Linked DNA regions of Rattus norvegicus. The protein of the gene in region 3 interacts with the protein of the main gene of each other region in a pairwise test. Links are inferred from orthologs where the notes say so. Each region holds a gene or a part of one and is shown on either strand. Other genes may lie near its edges. The genes, in order: Pole3, Gtf2b and Drap1.

What was found.
Region 1: the proteins of Drap1 (region 3) and Pole3 interact in binary tests that used the Homo sapiens proteins (3 or more experiments, as listed by UniProt). The two-hybrid records come from large-scale screens. The link is inferred for Rattus norvegicus from reciprocal best matches to the Homo sapiens genes DRAP1 and POLE3.
Region 2: the proteins of Drap1 (region 3) and Gtf2b interact in binary tests that used the Homo sapiens proteins (3 or more experiments, as listed by UniProt). The two-hybrid records come from large-scale screens. The link is inferred for Rattus norvegicus from reciprocal best matches to the Homo sapiens genes DRAP1 and GTF2B.

Annotation. Positions count from the first base shown.
Region 1 is NC_086023.1:80,989,910-80,994,167, forward strand, and holds the start of Pole3 (DNA polymerase epsilon subunit 3), read right to left. Parts: upstream 2,834-4,258; 5' UTR 2,821-2,833; coding exon 2,755-2,820; intron 2,661-2,754; coding exon 2,575-2,660; intron 2,265-2,574; coding exon 2,146-2,264; intron 1,914-2,145; coding exon 1,747-1,913; 3' UTR 1-1,746. Other genes in the region: C5h9orf43 (uncharacterized protein C9orf43 homolog), read left to right, coding at 3,624-3,684. UniProt on the Homo sapiens protein: Accessory component of the DNA polymerase epsilon complex. Participates in DNA repair and in chromosomal DNA replication.
Region 2 is NC_086020.1:234,440,826-234,444,983, reverse strand, and holds part of Gtf2b (transcription initiation factor IIB), read right to left. Parts: intron 3,409-4,158; coding exon 3,275-3,408; intron 2,471-3,274; coding exon 2,324-2,470; intron 2,192-2,323; coding exon 2,062-2,191; intron 1,102-2,061; coding exon 820-1,101; intron 1-819. UniProt on the Homo sapiens protein: General transcription factor that plays a role in transcription initiation by RNA polymerase II (Pol II). Involved in the pre-initiation complex (PIC) formation and Pol II recruitment at promoter DNA.
Region 3 is NC_086019.1:212,160,722-212,164,880, forward strand, and holds Drap1 (dr1-associated corepressor), read right to left. Parts: upstream 3,042-4,159; 5' UTR 2,837-3,041; coding exon 2,795-2,836; intron 2,564-2,794; coding exon 2,491-2,563; intron 2,406-2,490; coding exon 2,312-2,405; intron 2,033-2,311; coding exon 1,913-2,032; intron 1,815-1,912; coding exon of another isoform or gene 1,794-1,814; coding exon 1,700-1,793; intron 1,560-1,699; coding exon 1,471-1,559; intron 1,093-1,470; coding exon 987-1,092; 3' UTR 391-986; downstream 1-390. Other genes in the region: Bles03 (UPF0696 protein C11orf68 homolog), read left to right, coding at 3,280-3,401, 4,058-4,159. UniProt on the Homo sapiens protein: The association of the DR1/DRAP1 heterodimer with TBP results in a functional repression of both activated and basal transcription of class II genes.

The DNA.
Region 1 (4,258 bases), on a different chromosome or scaffold from region 3:
TTTCTGCTGTGAAGGAAAAAGCCTATAAACCAAAGGACCACTGGGGTTCTTTGTGAATATGACTTGAGAACTGTGTGTACTGGAGATACAGAGCTGTGGTTGAGAGCTAATAGAGGCAACATCTATGGATAGGAATTGATACTTGAAAGCACTTAGAACAATGCTAGACACTGGAAGAGCTTAGGAAGTGGGAGCTAGTGAGATATACAAAGTAACCAGGAGAATCTCAGGAAGAGCAGTGCCCTTAAATTGTGATTACTTATTCACCTGCTGGTAACCCAAGAAGACACAGGACTCTGTATGTGTGCTGAGGTTAGGGGGTAAAAGAGGGGTGTCTTGGTGAGTCCTTTCCAAAAGTACATTGTGTGGGTCATCATTTAAACAAGAATTTATTTGTAGAAAGCATTAAAATCTTCTCAACAGTCTCCAGTCACTTTCAACAAACTCTTCCCTGTATTTCCCTGACTAGTTAACAGTGTTCAACTATATTACATTACCTGTCAGCCTCATGTGCACAACTAAGACAGAGAAAGTGCTTGGAGCACTAAATGGGGAAAAGAAAGGCCAACAGGCACGCTCAAAGCTGCAGCAGTGGTGCCACATTCCTGAGCACCGTTTCTCTCACCTTCAGGGTCAGAGGTGCTTCTCAAGTCTCTTTAAAAGACAGGAGATGAGGAAACAATCTGAGGACCTTGCACTTTATCAGAGTCCCTAGACTAGAAGATGAAATGAATAAGAGGAGGAGAAAGCAGGGCTGGGAAGCAGAGGCGGGAGAGATGGAGACAGAAAGGCTGTGCCTGGAGGAGATAAAGTCTCTGGAACTTGCTATGAGTTCAGGGGATAAAAAGCAGCAGCCATCATCTGAGAGGTGGACTAGAGAAGAGACAATCTGGGATTTTATACCTTCCAAGAGGTGGCACTAGGTTCTACAGTGGCAGGCACTGAGTTACCGCCAAGTTTAAGCCACCTGCTTTTAAGAATTGGCACCCTTGGGGTTGAGGATTTAGCTCAGTGGTTGAGCGCTTGCCTAGCAAGGCCCTGAGTTCAATCCTCATCTCTGGGGGGGTGGGGGTGGGGAGTTGGCACCCTTTTTTGACAGATTCTAACCAACACTCAGAATTTAAGAGTATATGTCTTAGGAGTGGAGCCACACCAGAGCACTGGGCATCTACAGTCACTACAGGACTACAAAGCTAAGTGTAGAAAGCCAGAAGCCAAGCAATGCTACCATCGAGTGAGGAGATTTCCTTATTCTCTCACAGCTTTTTAGTCATTTCCTAAAGAGCAACCATTCTGAGCATTAATATCTATTGTCAATTACTGTACAGTCAAACAGGGTGACCATGGTCCAAGCCCCATTTCCCCCTGACCGGTTAGCAACTCTGCAACTTGGAACGCAGCAAGAAACATGTTATTACTTTTTTGGAGGAGCAGGGAAATAGGATCAAAAACTAGCTAGCTATACACTTTAAGTAAACAAGCAATACCAAACTATGTAGTCATTCGGAATCCCTTACACTAATAAGGCATAACCTGCAGACTGATGAAGCAAAGCTGGTTTCTGTAACTCAGACGCTCTGAGTTTGGGAAGAGCTAGCTAGCTTTGATCTTTCTGGTCAGTTTTTATTTTGATCTCAGGCACCGTTGCGGAAGATGGCTCTGCCTTGCAGGGAGAGGCTTCACATAAACACATCTCAGTATCTGAGGGTCCCTTCCACCGTGTCAGAGTCTGCCCACTCTCTCCAGTCAGTTGTCTACCTCCTCCTCTTCGTTCTGTTCTTCCTCATCCAGTCTTTCTTCATCTTCATCCTCCTCCTCTCTGCTTTTGTCCTGCTCTTCGCAATCTTTTTTGTCTTTGTCCTTCTTCTTTTGCTCTGAGGCTTCCTTCTTGCCTTTCTGCTCCCGCCTGTATGCTGTAAGGAAGCAGGGGATTATTGTTTAATTAGACAAACCGAGTGAGGCACCAGAGGAATAAACAGGCCCATATCACATATTCGAAATGGTACCAACTCAACAGAGTGGAATCATGACCAGTCCTGGACCAGTGAATGGGACCTAATGGCAGTAGTATTGAAATCAGGTGATCAGGGAACAAAGGATGAACATCTTTCACGTGGTTTAAGAAGCAGAAGAGCACATGGATACCTTCTAGCGCTTCTTTCAATGGCGTTACGAACCGTTGGAACTCCATCTCTTCCATGGCTGACAGTACATCACTGGCATTGAGAGTCTTGCGCTTTCCTTTCATTGCAAAGTTATTGGCACTGGAAGAAAGAGCAAAGCCCTTCAGAAGCTTGTCAAAGTGGTGGGGACATGAGACAGCCAGAGATGGGGTGGGAAAAGCCACATTTATCTTAGATGAATGGGTTTTTGTATGGCACAGCTCAATTCATCCCTTCCCCGTACAAAGGGCTACGACAACCGTCTTGTTTAACCTGCCTCAGAATTTGTGAGGCTGCAGGAGAGCTGTGAGTCGCTCTCTAGTGAAGCAGGGAACTGGGGCCTGTGGGTTCCAGGACACGAACGCAGGGTTAGGATCCCGCTGCGCCTCCCTTCCGCCTCTGCTCGGCTTACCAGGATGTGGCATACAAAACGAAAACACTGGCCGCGCGGGAGATGGCGCTTCGGGCCTCCTTGGAGATGTTGACACCGTCCGGTAGCTGCAGGGAGAGTGGAGATGAACACACATGCGGATTCTGTTAACTTTCTGGCACACGTCCGCCCTCGACCCATTCTCCAGCCCGAGCAGCTCACCGCCTCCTTGATGATCCTGGTAATGACGGCGTTGGGCAGATTTAGGTCCTCAGGCCTCTCCGCCATTGCCTCCGCTTGGGCCCTACCCTCCTCCTCAGGTCTCCTCGCAGACAGTTCTGGTGTCTGGACTTCCCGCGTCGCTAAGATATGACCCTCGGAAGCTTCCGTCCTACCCTACGTTGCCAGTGTCCCACAGTGCTTTGCGCACCACAACTTCTCTGCTACATCAACCCCGCCACAAGTCTCCAGGGTAGCCCAGCTTTTCCATGTCGCAGTTGTTTCGGACCATTGAGGTTTCCATCCGCTTCCACCGCATCCTGGACGTTCCACTCCAGGCTTGTTTCTTACTACACATCGCTGGAGCTTTCGGACTAAACTAAGTTTGACTCTCTGAGGTTTCCGTCTATTCTCCCATCGTGCCGTGCGCCGCTGCTAGGCAACCGTGCGGCCTGGTGCTTAGTTTGGAAGGGGTAGGCGTAGACTGAGCCCGACAAGGCAGGACTGGGACCGACGAGTGGGCGGGGCCTCTAGAAGAAGTGGGCGGGGCCAAGACTTGGGAGTGCTTTCGCAATCTCAGTATTGTCCGCCCCCAGAGGCTCAGAACACAGCCCTTTGGAATCTGCTTTGATCCCGCGAAATCGCGGACTACGGACACTTGAGTGGCCCTCCCCATCCCTTTTTTTCCGGAACTCAGTGTAGCTTTTCATTCAATTCTACTACACCGAATTATGCATTAGAATTGTCCATCTTTAATTTCATTCCCTTCACAACTTTGTGATAATTGTATTAAGAATAACTTTTATCTAAAATTTCGTTTAAAAAAATGCTATTATTCGGACAGCAGTAACCTGGGCAATCTCAAAAGCTTGATGAGACTTCGCAGCTCAATTCGGACTGGTTCGGTAATGAAAGGGCGAAAAGCATTTGACTGTAAGAATAATGCATTGTATTCTCATTCAAAAACCCGTGTTAAAGTATTTTTTAATTCATTATGTGAGTCATCTTACATTTTTCTTATCAAAATCATCATCACTTGAGTTAACATTTACAATGTCGCTTTAAGTTGTATAATTTTCATATTAAGCACAGAAAAAAAAATACTCCTGAGAACTAATGCTTATTTCCTTCTTAATTTTTCTTTCTTTTTTTTTTTCTTGAAACATGTTCCAAGACTTTTTCCTATTTTTAATGGAGACGTTACAAAGAAACATTTTCCTATTTGGAGAAACAAAACAAAACGATCCAACAGTTTTAGGGTGATGATGCTAAGGGATTGTTCTGATGGAGAGAATTCTGCACTTAGAACAGGCCTGTCTTAAGGATGTCATAAGCCTTAGTTCCAGCCACCATTTAGCTAGAACTGGTGCTGTCAGGCATTTTGATCTAGGAGAAAAGCCAGAAATCTAACATTATAGGACCATTTCAGTTTTTAAGACATGGGCTAAAAGTGCCTGCCAAGATAAATTACTCCTAGGCCAGGTGCAGCCCAGGCCACTAGATCCCT
Region 2 (4,158 bases), on a different chromosome or scaffold from region 3:
ACCATGTGCAGAGCCTGGCTTTATCCCGAGCACAGCATAAAAACCATCCTGGGCTACACAGCAAGCTGGAGGCCAGCTTGTGATGGATGAAACCTTGCCTCAAAAAACAACAAAAACCACACAAATGGGGATGAGCCACGAGGCCACATCCCTCTCTGAGGGATGACTGACAATGGTGTCTGGGGAAAGGGGTACCGTTTTCCTCAGTGATGGAACGTAGGTAGGGAGCCCTGCTCATGCCTGCACAAGCCAGGAAACCCATCTTTCCCCCAAGTCCTTCCATACAGAAAATACCCTGGGCTAACGTCATCATTTTTCACTCGAGGGCCCACCCAGGAGTACTTCACTGACCTGCACCTACGAGATGGGTGAACCCGCTCAAGCTCTTCCTCCTAAGAAGCCTGCCTCTATCTACTTTTAATCTGCTCTAACATGGCCTATACCGCATCACCCAGGGAGAGGAACCACTGATATGCTGCAATAAATAGGTCCCTTCACAAAAGACACAAATTAAAGTTTAATTTGGAGAAGGAGACTTGTACACAAGGCTATGCCTGTAAATAATCACTATAAGCTACTGTATTTTACTGTATTTTACTGTATTTTCTTCAGGGGTCTGCTGTTGTGAGGTGCTGGGACTGAAAACCAGGCTCTCAAGCCTACTCTTGGTGAGTAGGACTATGTCCAATCCTTTTCCCTTATGGGTTAATGTTTCTTCAAGGATCTGAAAAGTTAACCTTTCTCATGGGAGATTAGGAGTAAAACCACTACATTCCCAACCTTGCCATCTCATGGATGACTTCATGTTGAAGATCCTACCTTTCTGTGTTCGCTTCTCAGCTGAAGCCTGGGAGGCCATGTAAATAGCTGCTGCCGCCACAGAGATAGGACTCCTGCCAGGAACCAAGTCCAGCTCCACAGCCTTGCGGGCTATGTGTGTAGCTGCCATCTGCACTTGCTTGGGGAGGCAAAGGTTGGAGCAGAACCTGGACATGAAGTCCCCAGTTGTGATCAGATCCACGCTCGTCTCCAAAGCTTTCAAAATCAGTTTAAAACAACGGCCAATTTCTTTCTTAGAGATTCGAGACACAGCACATATTTCTAAAAGAGAAAATATTCTTAAAATATTTGTAAGACAGTTCATTTTATAATTTTTATTATAAAAATAAAACATTCTGGTTGTAAAAAGAATTCAATCAAGGCTTAAGATGAGGTCATAAATCCCTTCACCAATACTACCTTTGTGGTTTATTACTCAACATTCCATCCTTCCAGAATACAAACTTATCTAGTTCAATTTATACAAAAAAAAGTTCTCCAAGTAATCAACTTCTCTTATCTCCTTATAAGGCAGGCTCTAAGGAGAAGAAAGACAACACTCAGTCTGAAGAATGCAAGTGCATACATGTGCCCTGCAACTGTCTGCGTGCTGTCACAATACAAGCTAACCTGCTATCCCTGTTTGGGTTGTTACAGCAAAAAGACATGCGACAGCCACTCCTCTCACTTTGACACAGGAAATTCATGAGATGCTCGTTGGATATGGTGAATGTAGTCCCAACCCGGACCTAGTCAGTGGAGGGCAGTGTATCACAGCAACACGGGAGGAGTCTATCCTGTGCCCGAGTAAACACAAGCTTGACAAAAGCCAGCACTTAATTCAAAGACCTTGGTTTGCACAAAACTGCAAACACTAAGCCTCAAAATAAACAGGAAAAAAAAAATTCCACTGATGTCTTCCAAGACTTGAGCCCCTCAAGTGTGAAACCTGTGCTAGCCATTGTTTTCATCACTGGCTACAGATGTAACTTCAAAAGCCTCTGCAGCATATGTCAGGCCTTCAAACCCATAAAACAGTCACCTGTACTGTGGCCTTACAGGGATTAAAAAGATGCTACCTGCAAAAGCAGCTTGCACAGAAGACTGTCTTGTGCATTTTCTGTCAAAAACCATACAGAGCCACGGTAAGTGGCGTACATGGTCTACTGTACCGAGTACAGCACACTAGCCGTTAAGCCTCAAAGCTGCCTGTCTGAGCTCTTTGGTACAACTGAAGCCTACCTTTAAATGTCCTGGGAACGCCTTCTTGTCTACAAGCGATGTACAGACAAGCAGAAGCTATCGCATCATTAGCTCTTCCCTTCAGGCTCTTCTGCTCATATACTTGCTTGAATAAATTATTTGTTCGATCCTTCAAAGCAGAGAAACTAAGTTTAATTAAGTCTAGACCATTTAATTACTTACAGTATCAAAATTTTATGTGTTCATTAAATTATACAAAGTGAATGTCGGAATGTCTTAAAGGAGGTGGACAAGAACTTACAACTATATTGCGTGGGAGGTTGATTCTGTCTGCCATGGTCGTGATCTCCTTGAATGCGTTCATCATAGCTCTATCAGAGCTGCTCATTGTTCTCCGGTTCTGATACTTAGAATTGCCAAATTCATCAAAACTTGCCGCTCCTGTACCCTATCAAAGAAAGAGTTAACCTTGCTCAACCTTTGTGGACGATTTGAACAGACGGCGTCTATGAAGATGTAATGCACAGGCTCTGACTCCATCTGTCCTGGGAGTCTGTCCAGTGGAGCCCCTGGTTCCAACAAAAACTTCCACTAGAACATGCTTTAAAGAAGCTGGTTTCACAGACATTTAAGTAGGTGTCTACCACATATATCCCTATGACTGGCTACGTAGCCTGCAGAGATTCTCCAGCTTGGCCTGCTGCCTGAAGAAAGCTCTAGGATTGCAGTTCGTGCCTATGGTAGCATCATTACTTGGGTCCATCACTGGTTCTCCATCTGGGGTAAACAGATGTTCATATTGGATCTCCTCAGAAAAAAGTCTTACACAACCAGTACAAAGATGGTAACGTTATTTTGTAATAATATGTATACAGGTGCTTGCCTGTGTGTGTGTCTGTGTACCACTGCATGACCGATGCCAAAGGGATCCCCTGGGACCGCAGTGACAGTTTGTGGGCCTCACTGTGGGTGCTGGGATTTAACCCAACTTTTCCAGAAGAGCAGCCAATGCTCTTAATCCCAGCCCAAGTCTGTAATTTTGATTACGAGACTGTAATTTGTTCTTCCCTTCATGATGGGAAAAAATGTTGGCAGACTTTCACAATACTAACACTGGTGAATCTTATTTCCAAGTCAAGGGTCTCCTCTGTGTGACACTTTTAGTGAGTGAATGACACTTTTGCAAAAGTCTTAACTTTCTAGATTGTTATCTAGTCTCCTCTTGACATTTCCTGCTAGGTGGAATTATTACCTTGCCAATCATGGTGGACAAATCTCCATCACTCAGAAGAGGATTCTGAGAGTCTCCAACTCGAGATGGGTCTTTCGTTGCTTTGTCATTGCTGAAAGTTCTCCATTCAGACCCCACATCAATAACCCGGTCCCCTAAGAAGACGAGCACACAGTTACTCACCCAGCTCCCCAGGCTGGCTGATGGTTAGCTTCCTCACGTGGCCACTTGGCGTCAGCTTAGAACCATGTCCTCTTACATGTGTGCTCTGCAGCATTTACCAACTATGCCAGTCCAGGATAAGCTATGTAAACAATGTGCTACCATTCATATCCCAAATCTTACAAGAAAGAACAGTTTAAAGATTGCAGAAAGAAAAAGCCAATATGGTAATCCATGCCTATAATTCTAGCATTTGGGAGGCTGAGGTATAACAGAGACACCAAGGTTACACTGACTATATACATAGGAAGAGCTTGTCTCAAAGATCAAAGCAAAATAATAAAATTATTCTTATGTGACACAAAGAATAATGAAGCCCGGTTTGGTGGTGCAAGCCTTTTATCCCAGCACGCAGGTGGAAGAGGCAGGCCGATATCTGGATCCCCATGAATTCTAGGCTTTGTTTCACAAAAACAAAGACAGACAGACACGACAGAGAGAAACAGAGACAGGGAAAGGCAGAGAATAATTCAGAATAAAAATTTAAAGGCAGAATTTAAAAGGCAGACAGGCATATTTTCTAAGCAAAGAGGCTGTGGCAGGGTATGTGATATCAAAGCACGTGACCTGAACAGTCTCACTGGTATGCTTTAGCAGGAAGAGCTCAAAGTCTGGAAACATCTTTGGAGCAAACAGAGAGCACTGAACACTGAAACACTTGCTGCTCAGTGTGCCAACAGTAC
Region 3 (4,159 bases):
TGATATCCTCCCTTGGTCCTTTGCAGCTTATCTTCAAGCCTAAGGCCTACCCTGAGTCTCCCCAGACTACAGCCACCATTGTCCGCACCCACACACCTAGCACATTCCCTAAGGGTCTCTGAATGCCTCCATCAGGAAGAAGCTGGTAAGCTTGTTGACAGATGACTTACCATCCCCTCTAGGGCTTTTACACTTGGGAACCCCACATGGCTGCTGCTCCCTGAAGGTGTACCTCTTGCCTTTGGCACACAGGTTGCCCAGGCTGTTCAGATACAGTTGGCAGACTGCTTGGCTCCAAAGATGCTTCGCAGACCCTCTGCTATCTCAGGTACCCGTCTCTTCACTGTGCCGAGCCCGTCACTGCACTGGCTGCAGAACACTATACTTTTCTTTTTTTTTTTTTAAAAAGATTTATTCATGTATTATATATAAGTACACTGTAGCTGTCTTCAGACACACCAGAAGAGGGCATCGGATCCCATTACAGATGGCTGCGAGCCACCATGTGGTTGCTGGGATTTGAACTCAGGACCTCTGGAAGAGCAGTCAGTGCTCTTAACCGCTGAGCCATCTCTCCAGCCCAACACTATACTTTTCAAGGCCCCGTCTCAGTACTGATTCCATCTGTCCCTTCTCAGCAGTCCAGAGAGGGGAAGAAGGTGCCCAAGGTCCCACACAATGAGAGGTCACCCCTTAGCATGTGGCAACTCAGTCCCTAGACCACATTCCTTTCTTCAGTGCCCCAGACTCCTGTCAGACTCCCTGTTTTAACTCAATCACTGGCTGCCCCAACAATGTTCCTTCCTGCTGCCCCCATGTGGGGAGGTGGGGGGATGGGCAATACAGCCACGAAGCCCTGGACACAGGATGAAAAGAAACCAAAATCCTTTTTTTTTTTTAATAAATTTAAGAACAGTTCCATCTTTCTCTTCTCCCCAAAGCAACTAATACTAACTAAAAGAGCATATGGCCAGGGTTAAAGGGCGCTAGGAGTCATAATCCTCTTCGTCCTCTGCCTCAGGTGCTGAGGGGCCGGGAGGTGCTGGGGGTAAAGGCAGAGGAGAGGTGAAGGGCATGAAGGGAGTTGGAGGGCTGCAGGACAGAAAATGGAGAAAATCAGAGCTTGGAACTGTGCTGTGCCCAACCCACAGGCCCACCCCCATTCTCCAGAGACAGAAGCAGGTGTAGTCAAAGCCACCCATTACATCATGGAGACAACCCCCCTAGGAGGGAAGGTCCCAGCAAAGACCATTCTCCAGACTCTCTCCCCGACCCACTACCATGGAGGCAAGGCCTTCTCAGAACAATCTCTTGTGTTTAATAGTGTTCTCTCCCCTCCATTCCCTAAAGTCAGCCGCCGCCACCGCCGCCACCACCACCACCACCACCACCACCAATGGCTAGGGAAGTAAAACTAACTGGCTCTGGGGAGTTTGTTGTGCCTCTTTCTGGTATCCCTGGGGTGCTCACCTCTGAAAGTGGGCAGGGGGGTGACTGGCTTGGGGTGGGGCCTGTGGTGTCTCTTCTTCCCCATCTGTATCTGTGTCCTCAGACTCATCCTGTGAGCACAGCAAGGGTCAGGTTAATGAGAAGGTCTGGGCCCTTCTCTGGGGAGCCCAGAACCCTGGTAAGGCAATGGAGTTAGATACAAAGGCTGTAACAAGGATGAGACCAGGCCTTCCCCACCGGCCTCACTCACCTCCTGTTCTGAGTCTGTCCCGGACAGCTTTTTGTCTTTGCTTTTGCTTCCTGTGCCTCCATTCTTCCTGCCACTGCTGCCTGGTTTCCGGCCCCTTCGGGAAGGTACAGGCCATCTGCACAGAGGACTCTCTCCCCTTCTTCACCCCCCAGCCACCCCCAACCCTTGTGGCCTTGGCCTTTCCCACTTATATACCTGGTTTTGGTTACCCACCTTCGAGGACCCTTGTCCCCATCCGTGTGGTTGTCTTCCCCATCACCCTGCATGTCAGGCACAGATGCCACCAAGTCTTTCAAGAAGTCAAATTGCTGTTCAAGCTCAATGCACTGCTTCCTGTAGAAGTGGGAGAGGAAGGTGTTCAAAAAGGGCCCCCAAAACACTGATGTTCCGGAATCATAGAAACAACCTTTTCGTGTCAGTACAGTGGAACACCCCTCCCCACTTCCACCAGGCCTCCCGGGCGGGCGGCTTGGCTCTGGTTGTTCCCTCCACCTGAAACACCTTATCTCTCCTACATCAGTCCAAACCCACAAAGCTGGCCTCCCTCAGCAGCGCACCACTCCCCCTGTCAGAACACTGCCTCCTCAAAAGCCCAGCTTAGCGGCCACTCACAGGTGGGACGTGGTCATGGTTTTGGCATTTCGAGACTGGGTCACCTGGCAAGCCTTCTTCAACAGAGACTCCAGGAAGAGCTCAAGTGCCCGGGCTGAGGACGTCAAGGAGAATCCAAAAAGGGGAGTGCCGCAGTCCCGCCCCACGCCCCTCAGCCCAGCCAGCCCCTAGTAGGATACAGATGATGACAGGCACAGCTGCCGCCACCTTCCCAATCTCTTCGTCTGTCTGCATGATCTTCTTGATCCGCGCCTGCCGAGGGGAAGGGGACAGAGCTCGTCTCCTGCGTCTCTACAGGGGAGCTGAGTGAACCGGGGGGTATCCCAGGAGAAGAGGGCGGGGGGCACTAAGCCAGGAGGGCATGGAAGGGGCGGGGCGTCAGGCCATGAACACCTAAAAGCACCCGTCCCCCCACCAGCAGGACCTGGGCCCAAGCCTCCCAGGAACCTAGCCTGCAGAGGCCCATCCCGGCCACGTGCTCACCGGCGGAAACCGCGCGTTATACTTCTTCTTCTTGCTTGGCATCTCGGGGCCTCTCACGCTGCGCCGGGCCCAGCGCCGCCGCCCGCAGCCTCCAGGCCCCGGGCCTGTTCGCCGCCAGCCGGCCGCGGTTCCCCCCGGTCCTGGTGCCGCCTACTCCGCCCACACCACTTCTCGCAGGGTCCTAGTGCCGTTCGTAGAAAAGCAGCTCCCAAAACCCAAGCGCTGGGCTTTGGATCCTCTAGGGCGGTGCGCGTCCTTCTCAGGGATCGCCCGCCACGCCCACCCGCCCTCCAAGCTAAAGTACGAACGTTAGCTCCGCCTCCTGAAGACCTGCACCTCCCGGGATTCTCGCGCTGGCTCCGCCCCTGAACTCAGCCCGCCCCTTCCCCTGGAGCCCCCGCCCCTAGCCTTCTGGTTCCGCCTCTGGCCCCGCCCCGTGACTGTGTTTGTCTATAAAGTTGTTGTTGAGGTGGCGGGACCCTAAGATGGCGGCGGCGGCGGCGGCCGTGGCAGGGGCGGGGCGCGGCGGGGGTGGCGGCGCAGACCCCGGGCAGGAACGGAGCCGGGCCCGAAGTTGGGTTGGCGCGGAGCGGAGTGAAGGCCGGAGGTGACTGTGGGGCGACGAGAGGGCAGCCCGGGGGTGGAGGCAACCCTTACCTGTGAACACTAATGGCGGCGGGTGTGGTAAGGCTGGAGCCTGGTCCTCGCGCAGACTCTGTCCTATCAGGTTCGAGTCCGGATGTTGCCCATTGACCCCCAGATGGGCCGCTGTCCTCTCTGGGTCTCAGAGTCTTGGTGTTGATAAGTGTGCCCCAAATAGTTCACCATGGGAGGCCTGGCCCCTCTCCAGCCAGCCTCTGAGATTGGCGAACCTGCGTTTTGCCTACGTCCATTAAATTGCAGCGCCGCGCTACCTGCGAGACTCTAGTCCTGTGGTGTAGCAGAGTCCTGTGCCAGTTAACACTTAAGCTTTAACGGTCTTTACAGACATGACCTTGGGCAAGCCCCTTTTCTCAGAGTTTCAATTTCCTTGTTTTTAAGCAGTGAAAGTAGTACTGACAATAGCGACTCCACCTCAGGCATTTTATTCTAGAGACAAATCTAGACAGGATCAGTTGTTATCCCATTGTGAAGATGAAGCAACTGAGGCACAGACATTAAGACTTGCCCAAGGCCACAGTTAAAAGCAGTGCCTGGCACCCTCTAGGACCCAGTACTTTTTATTTACTGTCTCAAACTTCTGACTCAGTTCCCTCACAACAGGATGGAACCAAATGAAGAGCTGGAAGAGGAGGACTCTCCAGGTGGTCGTGAGGATGGCTTCACTGCTGAGCACCTGGCTGCAGAGGCCATGGCAGCTGACAT